Linked DNA regions of Styela clava. The protein of the gene in region 1 purifies or fractionates together with the protein of each later gene. This does not show direct contact. Links are inferred from orthologs where the notes say so. Each region holds a gene or a part of one and is shown on either strand. Other genes may lie near its edges.

Region 1 (8,262 bases):
GTATGTTAATAAATTACCGAGTTAGACGAATGCTGGGATGTCACATTGCTCATCGAAAGAGAGACGTTGTATAATAAAATCGAGATCTGTTTGTGATTTATCTTCAATAAGAGAAAATCCGAAAATGATATGGTAACTTACCGCTAGCGACCGAGCCTCGCACGATGTTGATAAACGTATTCCAGTTTATTACATCCAGCCTTCTGATTTCATACCGGTACCGGTCGGTACCAAATTTTCGATAGTCAGTACCTGCCGTGACGCACATGCATTTAAAAAATTAGAACCCATACTCCAATATCTCAATCTTACTACAGTACCGTACCATACTGCCATATGCTCAACTTATCCATTTAATAAATCTGCTTATGTCTGTATGTACCTCCAGACTTCTATGCTAAACTTGATTCCGTGGCAGGTGAACGCAACACGCCTGAGTAGACTTGTGCTCTCAAAAATGCATGTGAGCAAAAATCAATTGAAGGGGAGAAAATTCGGAAAATGTGTCAATCCTAATAACCCCCACCTGACTAAGCCACGCCAAATGCTGGTTACCAACTAAATGGCCTGTCTTGAAAAGCAAGCGCAAAAACTACTTCGCCTGTATAAAACTGTTTATCACAGTTTGTTTGTTACGATTATTTAACCTATGCGAAATTCGCAACATCGCCATCTTGCGTGACAGGACTGTGCTTCAAAGCACCAGTTGGCATGTTCCGTTTAAATAATTTAAAAATTATTTGTCCAAATTTATATCAAATGGGGCCATTCTGTCAGTTGCACGCTAACAATCTACAAACAATCTTGGTAAGTTTGCACACAGGCTCAGGGGTTTGGCATGTCACACTTTGCACGCTGAGATTTTTGGATTTATTTCAGGATCTATACGAGTTGTGTACTAAAGTTGTTCATCCAGTTTACAAGCAACTTCGTTCCCATAGCTACAAAAACCGTAACTACTGAACTTGCTAACTCTGAAATGTTCACTCAAAGTCAGTTCTGTAGTTAGTTGCATTATACACTCCAAATACTGAAATACAACCACTGCTGCACTGACAGTTTGACTTTTCAGGGCTCTGAATCTACTGTATCAAGACTAGCAAAATGATGTCATACATAGACACACATGGCATGGAAGAATTTGACCTATCTAAAGAGAATACGATCAATGATATATTATATTTCTAACTAGATTCAATACAATTAAACCATCATGATAAAGTTGCTAGACACTTAGAAATCGTTTCTTTTTTGTGAGTTATAGTAATCGCAAAAATATCGATAATAAATGCAACCAGTGATAAAAATCTAATTCAAAAATCCCCACATTCCAATCATGTATTATGTTTTAGCCTATTATCCCTTATGGTTTTTTGTTTGTTTTCGACAACTTTCCAAAGGAAAGTACTCAGCTATTTGGATTAAATATTATTAATCTATTGCTTGCTATCATTTTTATGTTTTTTTCTTGAAATTTGGGTTTCTGGAAACTTGGGTAGCACATCACCCGTCTATATTTTTTCAATATTAATTATGTTAGGTTATTAAAGTCAATGATCTGGAATTTGTCGTAACGCAACATAGGTAAACCACCCTATGCTATGCCTGAGAGCTTGGGCCAACACTGCTGTTCTCATTTTATAAACATTAAATTATGAAATTGTTGAATAAGGTACCGGTGGCGGTAATTGTGATTGAAAAATAATAGCTTAGTGGCGATATTGACTAGATTAACTAAACATAGCCTACTTTGTCAGATTTGTCCTAAACGTATTGCAAGTTTAGCATGCAAAAATCAAATAGCAATTCAGGATAACATATTTCGGGAAAACCAACAGGAAAGACCTCTGATGTTATTTTCAATACACCAGGAAACAGCATATTATGCTGATTCAGTTAATGGAGAAAATTACCAATTTATTGCAAAGAATTTTTTGTTTTAATTGATGAAAAAACGTTTTCAATGATGAAAAAAGATTTGGGTTTATTTTGAAATATTGTAATTCCATAAGAATAATTGAATCAAAGTAACTATTTGTTGTGGATATTGCAATAAGTCAATATCAAGTGAAATTCTAATTGCAACTCTATATGCCACGTGTATTTATTTGAAGTTTCTGGCTCATTTGATACTTTTTTGAATAAAAATTACAACCAGTTGGTTTGAAGATCATATATAAAAAATTCTACGAGGTTCGAAAGCATAGAGATAATGTAAAATCATCAATTTGAAGCAATAAAACTAGCCAACTATGACTGAAATCCTGGAGTAGAAGTCCTGGAGTGTTATTTCCAATAATACATTTTAACATTATTGTCTTAATTTCTAATCGAAGTACAAGGTATGATTAAATATATACCAGTATAATCAACTGAATAACCTGCAGAATTTAGGCAAGAATATTTATATATTCTCTTCTTGTCATTAGGATCATAAACTACGAATTTCAAATTCATTCACTTAAAACAGATGCAGAGGTAAAATCAGAGATATGGATTAAGGTTGCTTTTAATAGTTACGGTAATCATGACATATTTCAAGCTATAAGTGGTTTAAAACAGTGTGGTTTCTGAAAATTGGAATATTTTTACAGTCATATATGATTTAACTTGCCTTGAGAAAGTATAGTGAACATTTTATGTATGTTTGACCAAAATAATTTTATGCCTATGGCATTGGTTCTCAAAATTTGCTATGTACGCCCCGAAAATTAACAGAATTGTGTTGTTATAGCTACAGTACTATATGGTTGAATATTTTACATATCGTTTTATTATAATGTTTTATTGTTTCCTATTTTAAATGCTGTGTATATAAATCAGTGAATTCATTTTTACCTTTCTATGTTGTTTACTTTCTGTTAGGTAGTGTCTGCCTCTATTGTTATGTAACAATGGAGATAATCCTAGTTGCTGCTATTTCATGAGCTGCAGTTTATTTATCTTCTGAGTTTAGCAAACATGTTTTTAGTATTCCGAAGGAAATGAAAATAAAAGACATCCCCCCAAAATAAGCCCTAGTGTTATTTTTCGAAAGAAAATTCAAATAAAACCCTGCCTTATTTTCAGGGAAACACGGTATAATAAAGTACTAGACATAGGGCTTTGTTCTGCAATTGAGTTGACAATTTGTTAGTTTGCAGACACAGTGTAGGATACACATGCCGCAAACCATTATCCATATTGTCAGTTTGTCTGGTTAAGATGACACAGTATCAATGTCATTATTTCATTACCAAGTTAATTCTGTTAGTTCTGTTTTATTTTAATCTATAAAGAAGATGTTTTGTAGGGCTCAGACTCTTCAGTTTGGAACAATTCCTCATTCTTGGTTTTTCAACTTATTTGGTAATATTTTATAGAAGTGCCTGAGGCAAAGGAACATATCTGTTCTTATAACATGAACTATCATCACTTGTGACACATCTTTCCCCTCAGGCAAAATCTGGTATTTCTAGTTGACAAATTTTAAGATGAAGACTGTAATTGCACTACTTGACTATGCCATGAAATTATTGAGCTTTTAAATGACTTATAGTATGTATTAGGCTTCAGTTAGAGTAAAATATTAGAGTTATTTATATCATATATATAACAATATAATAGTTGTCAGTTCATCCATGGTTACACTGTGTCGTATCGCAGGGAATATCATTATCGTAATCAGTGAGATTGTATTTGAGAATAATGATTCTTATATTATCTTAGCCATAGCATATTTTCATAACACCTCAATGTGAAAAGGTTTCTTCCATCAATGAATACTACACAGTTATGAAATACTGGTGCATTAAAAAAAGTTTTGAGGTTTTCAAATTAATAATGTTCGAGAAACAATATAACTCATTACCAGTAGTATGTCCTTGGTCAGATTAACTGCGAAATTACATTTCCATGTTCCAAACAGTATGTACCGTAAGTTTCTTATTTCAGAAGCAACCTAGTCAAAGGTCTAAAGGTGTTTCACAAAGTTGTGGTAAAAATTACAGTAACTCAAATAATCTTTGTAGTTGATTTGTAGTAATATAAATTGTAGACTTACTATTTCTTCTCTATTGCTTTTCAATTGGTGTATTATAGCAAATATGAATATTTTTTATTTAGTCTTATTAAGCCGTGCTTAAATGCTGCACATATTCACAAATTATGATTTTTAATTGTTGTGGCCAATGTCAGGCCTCATCAGGCAATTTACAGCATTGATCGAACACATTTTTTTGTGTGTAAATTGTTATGGTGGTTATGATTAGTTCTTATTAAACAGTAGAATGAGTTTATTCCTGTTTTACAACTTTAGTCTCCTTAGACCAATTTTATGCAATTGTTTTTGACATGCCAATTTCATTTACAGCTGATGACTTATATAATATAGGTTATGTGATACACCTGCAAAAACATACAGTCTGTAATTTTTTATTGCTTACTTGAGGTTTAGGAAATTTGAAGTTGTAATACACAAGATTATCATCATGTCTTCTGGGCTCATTCAACGGAAGACAGAAGCTACTATGGCTGCAGCCCAGATGAAAAAGAAAGAAAGTCGTAGTGATGACGAGAAAAGTGATGATGATAGGTTTGTAGTTCATTTTTATGTCTAGTTCATTTTGCCTACGTTATATCTATTGCATCAGAAATGCTCTAGCCAAGAATTTCTCAAAATTATCCCTCCACATATAGGAGGGCACAGAGCGGCATTGTGGAGGTCAAGAACAGATATTCACTAGGTCACCGTTCATGATAACTGCATTAATTTAGAGTAAACTGAGAACGATTTTTTTGTTTATTTCACCGTAATGCATTCTTTTGCTTTCATTTGTTGGCTTTTTTTGTGTTAAATTAAAATAGCTGATGGCAATAATAATTTCTAAATTATTCTTTGCATTTTCCTGCTGTTCATCAATTGAGTTGTTGATTTTCTTTTGAATTAAACACCATGGGAGATATATTTGCGGTAGACAAAGTGTTTTTTATTATTTTTCAAGTAAATATACGTCAGAAACTCAGAATGGTGTGTAAAATCGGTTAATCATAACCAGCCCTACTGATCAGCCATACAATCAATAGTAAGCATGTTCTTGTCGCTTATTAACACATTGCACCGATCGTGGATACTTATTAATTGTAAACAATAGCTACAACCTACTGTGCATTTTTATTTCATGTTCATTGTTCTTTATTTGAATGGTGTTGTATTTCAATTTTAACATAGAGACCTCAGACACCCATCGCTAGTTATTCTGTGTTTTTACTGACTGTGTGCATACTCTATTTCAGAATGTCTGATAGTGGGGACAAGTCTATGCGATTAACTTTAATGGAAGAAGTTCTTCTGATGGGTTTGAAAGATCGTGAAGGTTACACATCATTTTGGAATGATTGCATATCATCAGGATTAAGAGGTTGCATTCTGGTTGAACTTGCTTTGCGTGGAAGGATTCAGCTTGAAAGGCAACAAGCAAGGAAAAGAAAATTGTTGGATAGGAAGGTTCAGAAACATCTCTTCACCAATCTTTAGAAGTTTTATTTTTAATTACTCATTTTGAACAGATTTTATAGTAGTCATAGCAAGCAAGCCTGAAGTTGTACCACTTATTTAGGGAATTGAGGTTTAGGTATTAGAGTTGTTAGACTAAATTTTCTTTATATTGTTTTTTTACTTACCGTACACATTTTTTTACGCAAAACTCTGAATTCCAGGTACGATGTAAAAATGACGCACCTACTGGGGATGTTATCTTAGATGAAGCTTTGACACATATTAAGAAAGGAGAAACAGAAGAATCAGTTCAGGTATACATTGTTCTTTGGTCTAATAATATTTGAAAATATTTTACATCAGGATGCAAATTACTGGGCGGGCAACATTTGCGCAGGTGCTATTTTGAATTAAATTTCCTTCCGTTGGATATCCAATATATAGATGTCAAGCGGAATAAATACTAGAAATTAGAATACTCACAATTCCTTGATTTCACCTGAAATGTTCAAAAAATGTAATTGCTCCGATGAAAAACTTCCAGTTATACTAACTTTCATTTTTTTCCTGAAACAACAACTCCCAACAACGAAAAGAAGAGAATTCCTTCTTCGAATGGTCCGATGTGTATATAATGAACTTTGTATGACACCAGTCTATGAAGGAGCCCAGAGGATTTGTGTCTGCTTTATTCCAATATAGTGACATAGAAAATATCTCTATCAAGCATATTGTTGGCTAAATCAAACCACCCATTCCTAGTCGAAGAGGTGAACTAATATTCGAACTGAATGCCCGTTTATGGTAACCATTATTGAGTTCAATCGTTCCAAATTTGATGTGGTGCCAAATTATTTAATTTCAAGGTTTTTTTATACAGTTTTTTTTAAATATTATCCTAAAAAATTTGAGTATACTGAGTTACAAAAGAAAAGCCTTTTATGACTACTTGAATAAGATTCAAACTGTTTAAACCACAAGAAAGTACAGAGTTAGAATGTTACAAATGAAACCATAATTTCATAGAGAATTAATTTTACATCGCTTCTAACGTCAAAAACTACTCAAATAACCAGACCCCCTTATTGAAAACATATAGCACCAACTGCACAATATACACTTTTCATTTCGGTGATGAGTGGGTATTTGATAATGAAGATTATCAGATTCAATCTTGTAACTTTGTTCCGATGATTAATATTTTGCAGGGATGGATAGATCTGCTGTCTGGAGAAACGTGGAATCCTTTAAAATTGCAATATCAATTACGAAATGTACGGGAACGCCTTGCCAAGAACCTTGTTGAGAAAGGAGTTCTAACAACTTCAAAACAGAATTTTGTTTTATTCGACATGACCACACATCCTGTTGTCAATGATGATGTAAAAGCAAGCCTTCTAAAAAGAGTTCAAGATGCTGTTTTAACTAAATGGCCAAATGATGTTGAAAAGATGGATCGGTCAGTTTCTCATACTATAGTAACTTCTTTTTTACAGTGTAAAACATATGAAACCTCAAGTGATGCATTACTTTAGTTATATTTGAAAAATCAATCATGCTCACTCCTTTTTGCTTTCCTGCTAATCAGTGATTTGTGTTGTTGAACTTTGTGCCAATATTACTGGTTGGGTGAAACTCTGGCGGTTTACATGATTTGTAACTGTATGTGGGTGGGAAGCCCACATAAATAACAAATTCCTCTATTTTATTTTCGCGAAACCTGGTTTTGTTCGGCGCATCGTGCACTTGATTACTGTACTCTGCGTGCTTTCGTAGGTTTGAATCACGTGGGCAATTATCACACACGAAAGAATTGCTGCCGTAAGGCACGGTAGTTTGCTTACCTTATTGGTCGACAAAATACGGCCGGACGCTCCATTAAATGGACCTTTCCCCGACCTTCAACCCCGGAAAATTCTTTCTATGCTTTACCATTTTAAAATTTTCGGTGCTTATTTTAAGAGTGGTTTCGCGAGTTGTCGCCTGTAAAATGGGGTATTTCAAACTATCATTCGAATACATACCATTCAACAATCTATTTTTTTAAATTACCGGTAAAGAATTTTAGCCTAGTCTATCACAGCTATTTTCACTTTAATTTTTGATTACTACAATTAAACTGAAACTCCTAGGAAGACAAAGTGATCATTGAATTATTTGATTTTTATTTAAATTTCCGAAACACAACTAAAAACAAACGAATCTAATTCAAAAACAGAGAAATTGAGGTAATGTTTACGACCACGCCTGAAAATCTGTCTGAGCGAAAAAAGCGTCTGAGCGGATGCAAAAGGGGGCATTGTTACGTTTATTTTTGCATCTTGCTGATTGACCAATGTCACGAAGTAAACAAGAAAGTCTATGCCCGGGGAAAATCCAATACGCAGACAAAACGACGTTTTGACAATGAATTGATTTTATTTATAATCTACGCTCAAGAGTAAATTACATTTTTTACGTAACAGAATTTATCGTGAGACACGTTTAGACTAAATTATAGCATATCCTAACAATTTAGTGAACAGCTACTCGTTTAATGAGCCTATAATTTAATTATAATTAGGCAAATGACAACACACAGAAAAGTTGATGCTGAGTGCAGGGGTTCAATATCGCAGTAAATATTCAAATATATTGCGATGCAATGAGGAAATAAAATTCATATTATATTCGAGAGAATCATCACTGCCTAATTTTTGTAAAAATGTATCTTTCTAAGGAAAATTTTTATCAAAATTTTAAAAACCATGCGAAAATATTGTGCGAACAATTATTTTCGAAAATGA
Region 2 (8,593 bases), on another chromosome or scaffold:
TTGATTTCATTACATAACAAACTGCGATGCTAGGTGTATCTAAAATCAAGCTTAGAGCCTATTTTGGTGCCTATTTCTCAAAATTTTCTAAGCGCCCTGAACCCCAGCCGTGCCGTCCCGCACTTTTCCTCGCTGCCCTTTTCTGGCCCTACAATTTTATTCTGCTGTGGATTTTGGCTCGCCGTCAATCAACTTGGGGGGCCCCTCTTGTACATCGTTTCTTAAATACATACCATTTTTTTAAGAATACAAATAGCCTAGTTTTATCTCAAATAGCAAATTATTTACCACCCCCTAAATTTCGAAACACCCCCCCTAAATGGAAAAGCTGGGGAACATACTGGCTCGAACCCGTTCCTGAAATGTCTTAATAATAAGCGAACCCGTTTTGGATTTATCCGTTACACGACTGCAGGAAATAAGTTACAAAAGTTATGTATTTGATTCATTTAACTTTTAATAGCATAGAACCACAATGGCTATTTACTCTTTTTCTCCTTTCTCTCCCTCCACGGAGCCGACACGAACCTTCTCCGTAATCCTTATCCAGGACAGCAAGATCATTAGGATAGGAGTACCGGTAGAACCATATTTACGGTAGAACTCAGTGACATATATATTTTCTGAAATGAGAGAAGCTGTTATTAGTGAGTTCGATATAAAAATAATTCGTTTTCAAAATATTTAATCCCACTGCGGGAAAACACCACAAAAGTTAATGCACGACCGGCAAACCCGATCGCGACCCCATCCTCCTCCTGTCAACTTCCGTCACGTGAGCTCATATTTTCCTGAAATCGTCGTTATTTATGACGTCACATTAATCGCGCAAGCGTTTCAATCTGAGACATCGGGGCGTTTGTGCCGGCCTGGCCAAATCTTTGTTTCGTTTTGATTTAGTCGTATTATCGTATTTTATGCGAGGGTGTTGAATAATGTAAGTGGCGTACCACCTTGTGTGTAACGTATCCAGGGATAGGATGTAGTTCTATCTGATTTTCATTATACTATTACGGTATACGATACAGAGTTATTTCAGCACCTTATCGGTAGACTACGACTGACGGTGGAGACGTCAGTCGGTCATTGCTGTATTGCTTGCGATTTGCTAGTTCTCTTACAGCTGTACAGTCTGGCTAGATCAAAATATTACTGAATTACCGCATTGGTACTGTTGGTATGTCATACCAGCCTCCATGGCGAGTCAGTCTCCACCCGAAAATAGCATGCCATTCCTGCATTCCAATGAAAAATAAAACTTGCCTCACAATGCTATTGTAACAATTTTGATGCTATATAGTACCGGTACCGGGACCGTACGTAGATAGTCTGTAAATTCCCTCTCATCTAGGCATCAGTTTAAGGGTTGGGGCATCTGAGAGATACCATTATACAGTTCAGCAGTTATACACCCACTCAATGTCTGGGTCTGGTATAGTTTACTGGTTTAGTACCACATCCACTTCTAGTTGGCCTGGCTCAACAATTTTTGCATATGTCAATTCTAACCCCCACCTGACTACGTCACCGAAAAATTACGTCATTCCGACGTCACAGTGGCGTAATACGGCTCACCGAAGTATGCGGATGGTCATCCAAAACGCGCAGACGATAACCCGAAATCGAGCAAGCTATTTTTCTCGTCACAACGATCACGATAGGAGAGAGATCGCCGGCTTTAGCAAGTTCTGATCGGCGGCGCAGATGCCATTTTGGGCGATCGTAGTTATACTTTGGCAATCCCTATGACGTGGTAGTGACGTAATTTTTGGATGGCATAGTCCTGTAGTCAGGTGAGGGTTAGGAATAACATATGCAAAAATTGTTATGCTACGCCCACTGGAAGTACTTGTGGTACTAAACTTTACTAGACCCCAATGTCTGAATGTCCACCAATGAAATAGTGTGCTTGCGGTTAAACGTTTGATTTTAGATCTGGCATTATAGGTTTCTGATAATCTATCTGTTAGGTACAGTGATGCTGTATTTCGAGGCGCATGAAAGAATACAGGACTCATCTTGCAGATAAATATTGTAGTTCAGTAGTTGGATTCAAAAAACTCATATCGTTATAATGACTTTACTGGACACCGCGGCACCATGAAATCATTACTGCATTAAGCTTGCTAAGGACTGCTATCGGGTCTTGTGTAGTATCGTATCTCAAATACCTCTAGTGGATGTAGCATAACGATTTTGTCAATCCTAACCACCACCTGACGATGTCATCCAAAAACGAGAGAAATAGCTTGCTTAAATTTAGGTGATCGCCTGCCCATTATGGATGACAGTTCTTATAGTTTGAAGGGCCCTATTACATCACTACTGCACTAGGACGTCCTGACGTGATTTTTCAGTGACGCAGTCAGGTGGAGGTTAGGATTGGGATTGACATATGCAAAAGTTGTTATGCTACGCCCATTGGAAGTACTTGAGTTATGAAACTACACCAGACCCCTGCTATCATACCGAACATGCCAGGGCGTAGCCAGAAATTTTCGAAGGGGGGGGTTCTGAATTTTTTTTTGCCAAGTTAGACCGAAACTGCTAGCGGGTTCGATCGAACTCTGGAATACGCCTGTTTCTAGTAGTCTTGTGGGTCTAAAAAGCATTTCAAGCTACGGAAAATTGCTATCTATGATACAGAAAATTGATTTTATTTTTTTTACATTTTAAAAGGGGGGGGGGGGGGGTTTCGACCCGCAAAACCACCCCCCTGGCTACGCCATTGCGAACATTGTTTCAAATACATGCAAAACAGCCTGAAATAGGTTCCAGTTTTGGGGTCTCGTGAAGTACACGCAGCAAGTAATTCTAATTGGCCCGGCTGGACAATTTTTGTATATCTCATGCCTAATCCCCACCTGACTACGTAATCCGAAAATTACATCACTGCGAAGTCGCTGGGGTTAGGAATATTATATGCGAAAATCGTTATCCTACGCCCAGTCTGCCAGTAGAAGTACTTGAGGACGTGTACCCCAGTTTTGAACATTTGTTTCATCCACAATACAGAAATACTGTAATAAGTTCATTCATACTTGTTTATGTGGCTCCATCAAACATTTTAGACTCAATGATTTTTTTCTTTTGTATTATTGTTTTCTAAGCGAAAGAATATCATTGTGCCTTTGTAACATGGGCTGTATTGGGGTTAGCTGTGATTTGTTAAGTCCTGTCCCACTTGCTCTTGGCGTCCGTTTGGAACTTATTACTTGCGTACTGGGCTATTCCAAGTGACTCTACGGAACAATGTACGGACTTGTGAGATGTACTATATTTTCACATTGTCAGCTACATGTTTTGTATCATTGTCCAATCAGTTGCTTTATGAGGGTTTGAACAAAACTGCACGAAAGGTAAAAACAAGATTCACTTAGTGGATATAAAATATAGCGTGACATTACGGAACGGCAAGTTCACCATGCATCAACGTTTCATTGTGTTGTGTTGTAAATTGTCGCGTTAGTACAGCAAGAGCTATTTTCTGGTGCAATAACTGAAGGACAGACCCCTCTGTGTCACTCAAGTTACTCAATGTAACACTGTAGATCCATGACGATAATGTGCACATTGTACGGGACACATTTTTCCTCTTTGGAACAGCAGCCTCTATCATCTCTTAAAATTCTGGTAATAAATCGTTAAATCGGTAAAGACATGTCCTACAGCACTGCAAACACTTAGGCTCAAACTCAAGTCTAGTGCATCTATTCGAAATGAAATAACTGTACCAGACAATCAAACAATTCATGTTATGAGTCACCAGAAAACAAAATTTCTACATTTCAGGCCACTTTGTTCAAATCATCAAAAACCTGGATGAAATTTAAACTTTTTTGGTGAAATGAATGCAGTCCAATAACGTTCAAGTGTCTTTTGATATAAAAAATACAAAACAATTACTTTCACTACACTATTAAAAAAATTTATGAAGTTCAACAGTTCCTTGGAATGGCCCTACTTTGGTTGCTGACATTTTACGAATATCAGCAGTGTCATATTAATATCTTACTGAAGTGCTTGCTTTGTTATATCCAGTAGTCTTCACTATGCGATTTACATACCTATGTATTTTCCTAGGGTTAACAATTATTGCAGAGTATGCTCCATTTCAGTGAAAAACAGGTGTGAAATACCGGTAGTTCAAATGCTGACAAAGCCCACACGGTTCATGTTCATTATGCTCAGAAGGCTTGGATCAAGTAAAAATAACCCAACAATAATTGTTAATTAATATATAAGGGTAGTTTGAAAACAAACAGTGCAGCATGGACCAAGCATTTTATAAGCTTTCTGTTTGAGCTCAAAACCTATTTGGTACACCTTGATCTACTTCACTGCAAACCAGTGTGTTGTGGAACATACCATGGTGTGTTTCATCAAATAGCCCATGTTTTTGTTTCTGTTATTTGCATCCTTTATGAGTATTCCTTCATATGCCAAATTTATAATGGTAAACTAATTATTGTGTGAGCAGTTCATATTTATTTTAGTTTTAATTTTGCAAAATATGGATTTGTCACTTTATATTTTGCCTTGCTTTCTTTATAATATTTTCAATGTGGCCCAAAATCAATCAATGGTACCATGTTACGTTCTTTTAATGACGAGAGTTTAGTTTCCATGGAGCATGAGGGTGGCCATACAGTGTCATATCAAACAAGGGTATCTCCATAGTATGTGTACCAGGTGAGGGTTAGGCCATAATTTTATTCCGATTTTCCTTATTTTAGTCCTATTACGATTTTGGGCACTGTTTGTGTTAGCCAAGTGAATATACCCCCTGCCCATAGGCTCCCATCCCTTTACACTTGATGTCAAGTAGCTGAACAAAATTAGTTACCTTCATATTGGTACACATACCGTACTTCTGGAGCGCCCAAACAAGATCTAAATATGATTTGTTCTTTTTTTGACTATTTTAGTGTGATTGACATATTTCCCTAATTAAGCTCTACAAGCCACAGAACAGTACAGTTAATTGCTTTTTAGCAATTGGGTATCACACTCCAATCTACCTGGATTTCTTATTGATCTCTGGACCAGTGTACCAGTAAGTTTTAGTTTTGTTTTATCAAACATATCATTATTAATAAAAAGTTATACTTCTACCAAATTATATTCACTTTTTGACTTTAAAAAATTTTCCCATAGATTTGCCAGAATTTGTAATTCTGAATTAAAAACTTTTATGTCAATGTATTCCTTTGAATTTTAAATATATTGGTTGCATATCGACATTGATGAACAATGTCTGAATTTTTGATGCTGAGTCGTTGACGTAATGATTTTTATACTTATCTTCACAGGGCAAATTTGAAAATCAAAATCACAAACTCAAATCATGGGTACTAAAGATGATGAATACGATTATTTATTTAAAGGTTTGTATCAAGGCATAAATACACTAAATGAAATTTTGGTATGTCCGACATATACTATGTGACTAGCTTGATCCTTTGTTAAATTAGGCATTTATCTCCAGACCAAATATAGGCATATTTCTCAATTCAAATTACATTCTATATTGTGAATACAAACTCTCGATATATATGGTCTTTCAACCGCTGTGGTGTTTGTCTATTCAGGCCGATTCATAATTTTGTTAATCATTAATTATTTTGATACTTATTTTAAAGCATTTTACAACTGAAATCTTATTAGAGCTCATGAACAAGCCTTTACACATCCACAAATTCAAAAGTGGCGGTTTTTAATAAAATGAAAGTTCAAAATTATACATCACGTTACACTAGAATTTTTTTCACTAGGTTATGTAATATCACCATTATTACTTTAGCTAGACTAGAAAATGCTTTGCCGTTGGACTCAAATGTCATATATATTAATCAATTTTTTGGCCATCATTTTGTTGCGGTTGATTATATATAGAATTTATTTGTAGTACTTTATTTTGTTGTTAAAATGACTGCATTTTTCAAATGGAGAAATATATATTTTTTTTAAATTTATTAAAATATACATGTTTTGTGAAGACATTTAAATTGGTATCAAATTATAATTAGTAGCCTATACAAGATAGTGTAAGATATTTATCTTGATATAGCTCTTGATAACAAGAGAATATAAGAATTTTCTTTTAAATATCAATGCATACAACTATGTTGGGTATGTAATGCATCAGAGCTAATAAATGATTTGCAGTATATAGACAAATTTGACATACATTGTGTGTTTGCATTAGCTTTCTATTGAACTATTGGTATTGCATCACTGATGTTGGTGCCGGCTTGCACCCAGACAAGACCTTTCTCATATTTACAAAAAGAGCATCAACTGTTTATTATGTGAAATACCATTGTATTGTACCTGAAATCAGGCATATCAAACTATCTTTCGACATGAACATCTACAATGAGTTTCCATTTACTCAAACTAGCTTTTAACATGAATTTTTACAATGAGATTCCATTTACTCAAATTTTGGGGCTTTTAGAACATGGATGTCTTTTTTATATTTAAGTCATTCATCTTTGGAATGAGAGATCTTTAGAGGTATCATTATTCTGCTGCTATTTTCTTTTCCAATACTATACCATGAAATTATGTTATATAATAGATATGAAGAAAGATACCAGATGGGTGTCAGTGTCAGAATAGTAATTTTAATATTCTGAATTTGAAGAATAAATTTGAAATCACCTGTTAGTTGGAAAATCCAAGATAAAAACTTCTCTCATTAACCTTAAAACCACAAACATCATTAAAATACTTTGAATTGAAAGGCTACTTGGTAATGTAAAATAAACCCTGTTCGTCGTTATTGTTTCGGCTTTGAATTGGCATGATAATTAATTTAACATTGATTGGTAGTCTCAAATTAAAAACACAGGTATGTAATCGGCACTCATGCACATGTTTTAAATAAATCAATAGACACCTGAACATTTAATTCTATGGATTATTATACCCTCAGTCATGAGCTCTTACAATGGATAAGTTTTCTGTAGTATCGTTAGTTTATGAGTAAAGATTAAAACTCATTTATTAATTTGATAAGCCAAACTGATAGTTTAATAGGGACGGTATCGTCGATATAAATAACAATTCTAGCCATGCACTTGTGAACACAACTTTAATGATACCAAGTTGATTTTAAAAAGTTGTTTTTTAACTGAGGTCCACTGCAGTTCAGATTTTTTTTTATGTTACTCATTTTCAACTCGTATCTTTTGGGATAATCAGAACATCCCAGTGTAACAAAGATTTTTTTTTCATTTTACAGTTGTCCTAATTGGAGATTCTGGTGTCGGAAAAAGTAACCTTCTGTCAAGATTTACGAGGAATGAATTTAATCTCGAGAGCAAAAGTACAATCGGTGTAGAATTTGCAACGAGAAGTATACAAGTTGACGGGAAGACAATCAAAGCTCAAATATGGGATACTGCAGGACAAGAAAGATACAGGGCCATCACATCGGCGTAAGATTATCATTATCATATAGTATCTTAATCTGCAATATTGGCTGCATTACCTGACCGTACATTTTGTTGGGATGACATAATTGCTATAGATATAGACACTATATTGTTGTAGTATGATTATTTTTTATTCCATACCATTCATTTTTATTTGAAAAAACCATATATTTCAAATTGTGGCACACGTTACATTGAAATATGAGCCCAATAAAGGAATATATGAGAATATCTTTGGAGATTGGAGAAAATATTGCTGAACGCTTCTAAAATAAAAAAGCCTACATTTGTCCTGCTTGAAAGATGGAAAAAATTGTTTATTGCTTAACAGGTACTACAGGGGTGCAGTTGGTGCTTTGTTAGTTTATGATATAGCAAAACATTTGACATATGAAAATGTTGACCGATGGTTGAAGGAACTCCGTGATCATGCAGATAACAATATAGTCATCATGTTAGTCGGAAACAAGAGTGATTTACGACATTTGAGAGCTGTACCTTCTGATGAGGCGAAAGCATTTTCAGGTGAGCTACATCTTTTTTCAAATACAGTACAATTGCAGTACAATACAATTGCAAAGGGAATTTATCGATACCATAAATTGTTTTGGTGCTCACAGATGAATATTGAGAACTGACTTCATAACAAAATTGATATTGTATAGGTATTTATGGCGGTGACCGTACATTTGAACCCATGTACATTTGAACCCATGTGTATATCCACGGGTTCAATCTATATGCGGGTGCTAAAACTCATGGGTTAGGGTTAGTGTGGGTTCAACTATCCGAAAAACAAAAAAAATTCCATAGGTGCAATAGCATACAGGTGCAATTGCCATGGGTTCAAATGTACGTGGGTTCAAATGTAATGGAACCATTTATGGCCACCCTGTATGATTCATAAAAACGAAAATTTTCTTAAGAATCGTCACAATTCGAATTTCTGTTTCTATTGTTATAATATTTTTGTCAATTCAAATTTGTGAGATCTACAAATCTGTAACCTAATTCTCTTTTTTTCAGAAACTCATGGTCTATCATTCATTGAAACTTCGGCTTTAGATTCAACCAATGTAGAGACAGCTTTCCATAATATACTTACAGGTAATGTTTTACTTATAATAGAAAATTCTTTTAGTTGATTGTTA

The links. The genes of interacting proteins can lie anywhere in the genome.
Region 2: the proteins of Golgi phosphoprotein 3-like (region 1) and ras-related protein Rab-11B-like purify together in Drosophila melanogaster (affinity purification with western blotting; 3 studies listed by BioGRID, with this or other methods). This does not show direct contact. The link is inferred for Styela clava from reciprocal best matches to the Drosophila melanogaster genes sau and Rab11.

What each region holds. Positions count from the first base shown.
Region 1 is NC_135252.1:1,474,634-1,482,895, reverse strand, and holds the start of Golgi phosphoprotein 3-like, read left to right. Parts: upstream 1-4,336; 5' UTR 4,337-4,469; coding exon 4,470-4,573; intron 4,574-5,274; coding exon 5,275-5,485; intron 5,486-5,697; coding exon 5,698-5,790; intron 5,791-6,684; coding exon 6,685-6,935; intron 6,936-8,262. UniProt on the Drosophila melanogaster protein: Phosphatidylinositol-4-phosphate-binding protein that links Golgi membranes to the cytoskeleton and may participate in the tensile force required for vesicle budding from the Golgi.
Region 2 is NC_135262.1:17,158,259-17,166,851, reverse strand, and holds the start of ras-related protein Rab-11B-like, read left to right. Parts: upstream 1-4,897; 5' UTR 4,898-5,056; intron 5,057-5,312; 5' UTR 5,313-5,347; coding exon 5,348-5,387; intron 5,388-7,249; coding exon 7,250-7,445; intron 7,446-7,773; coding exon 7,774-7,967; intron 7,968-8,468; coding exon 8,469-8,549; intron 8,550-8,593.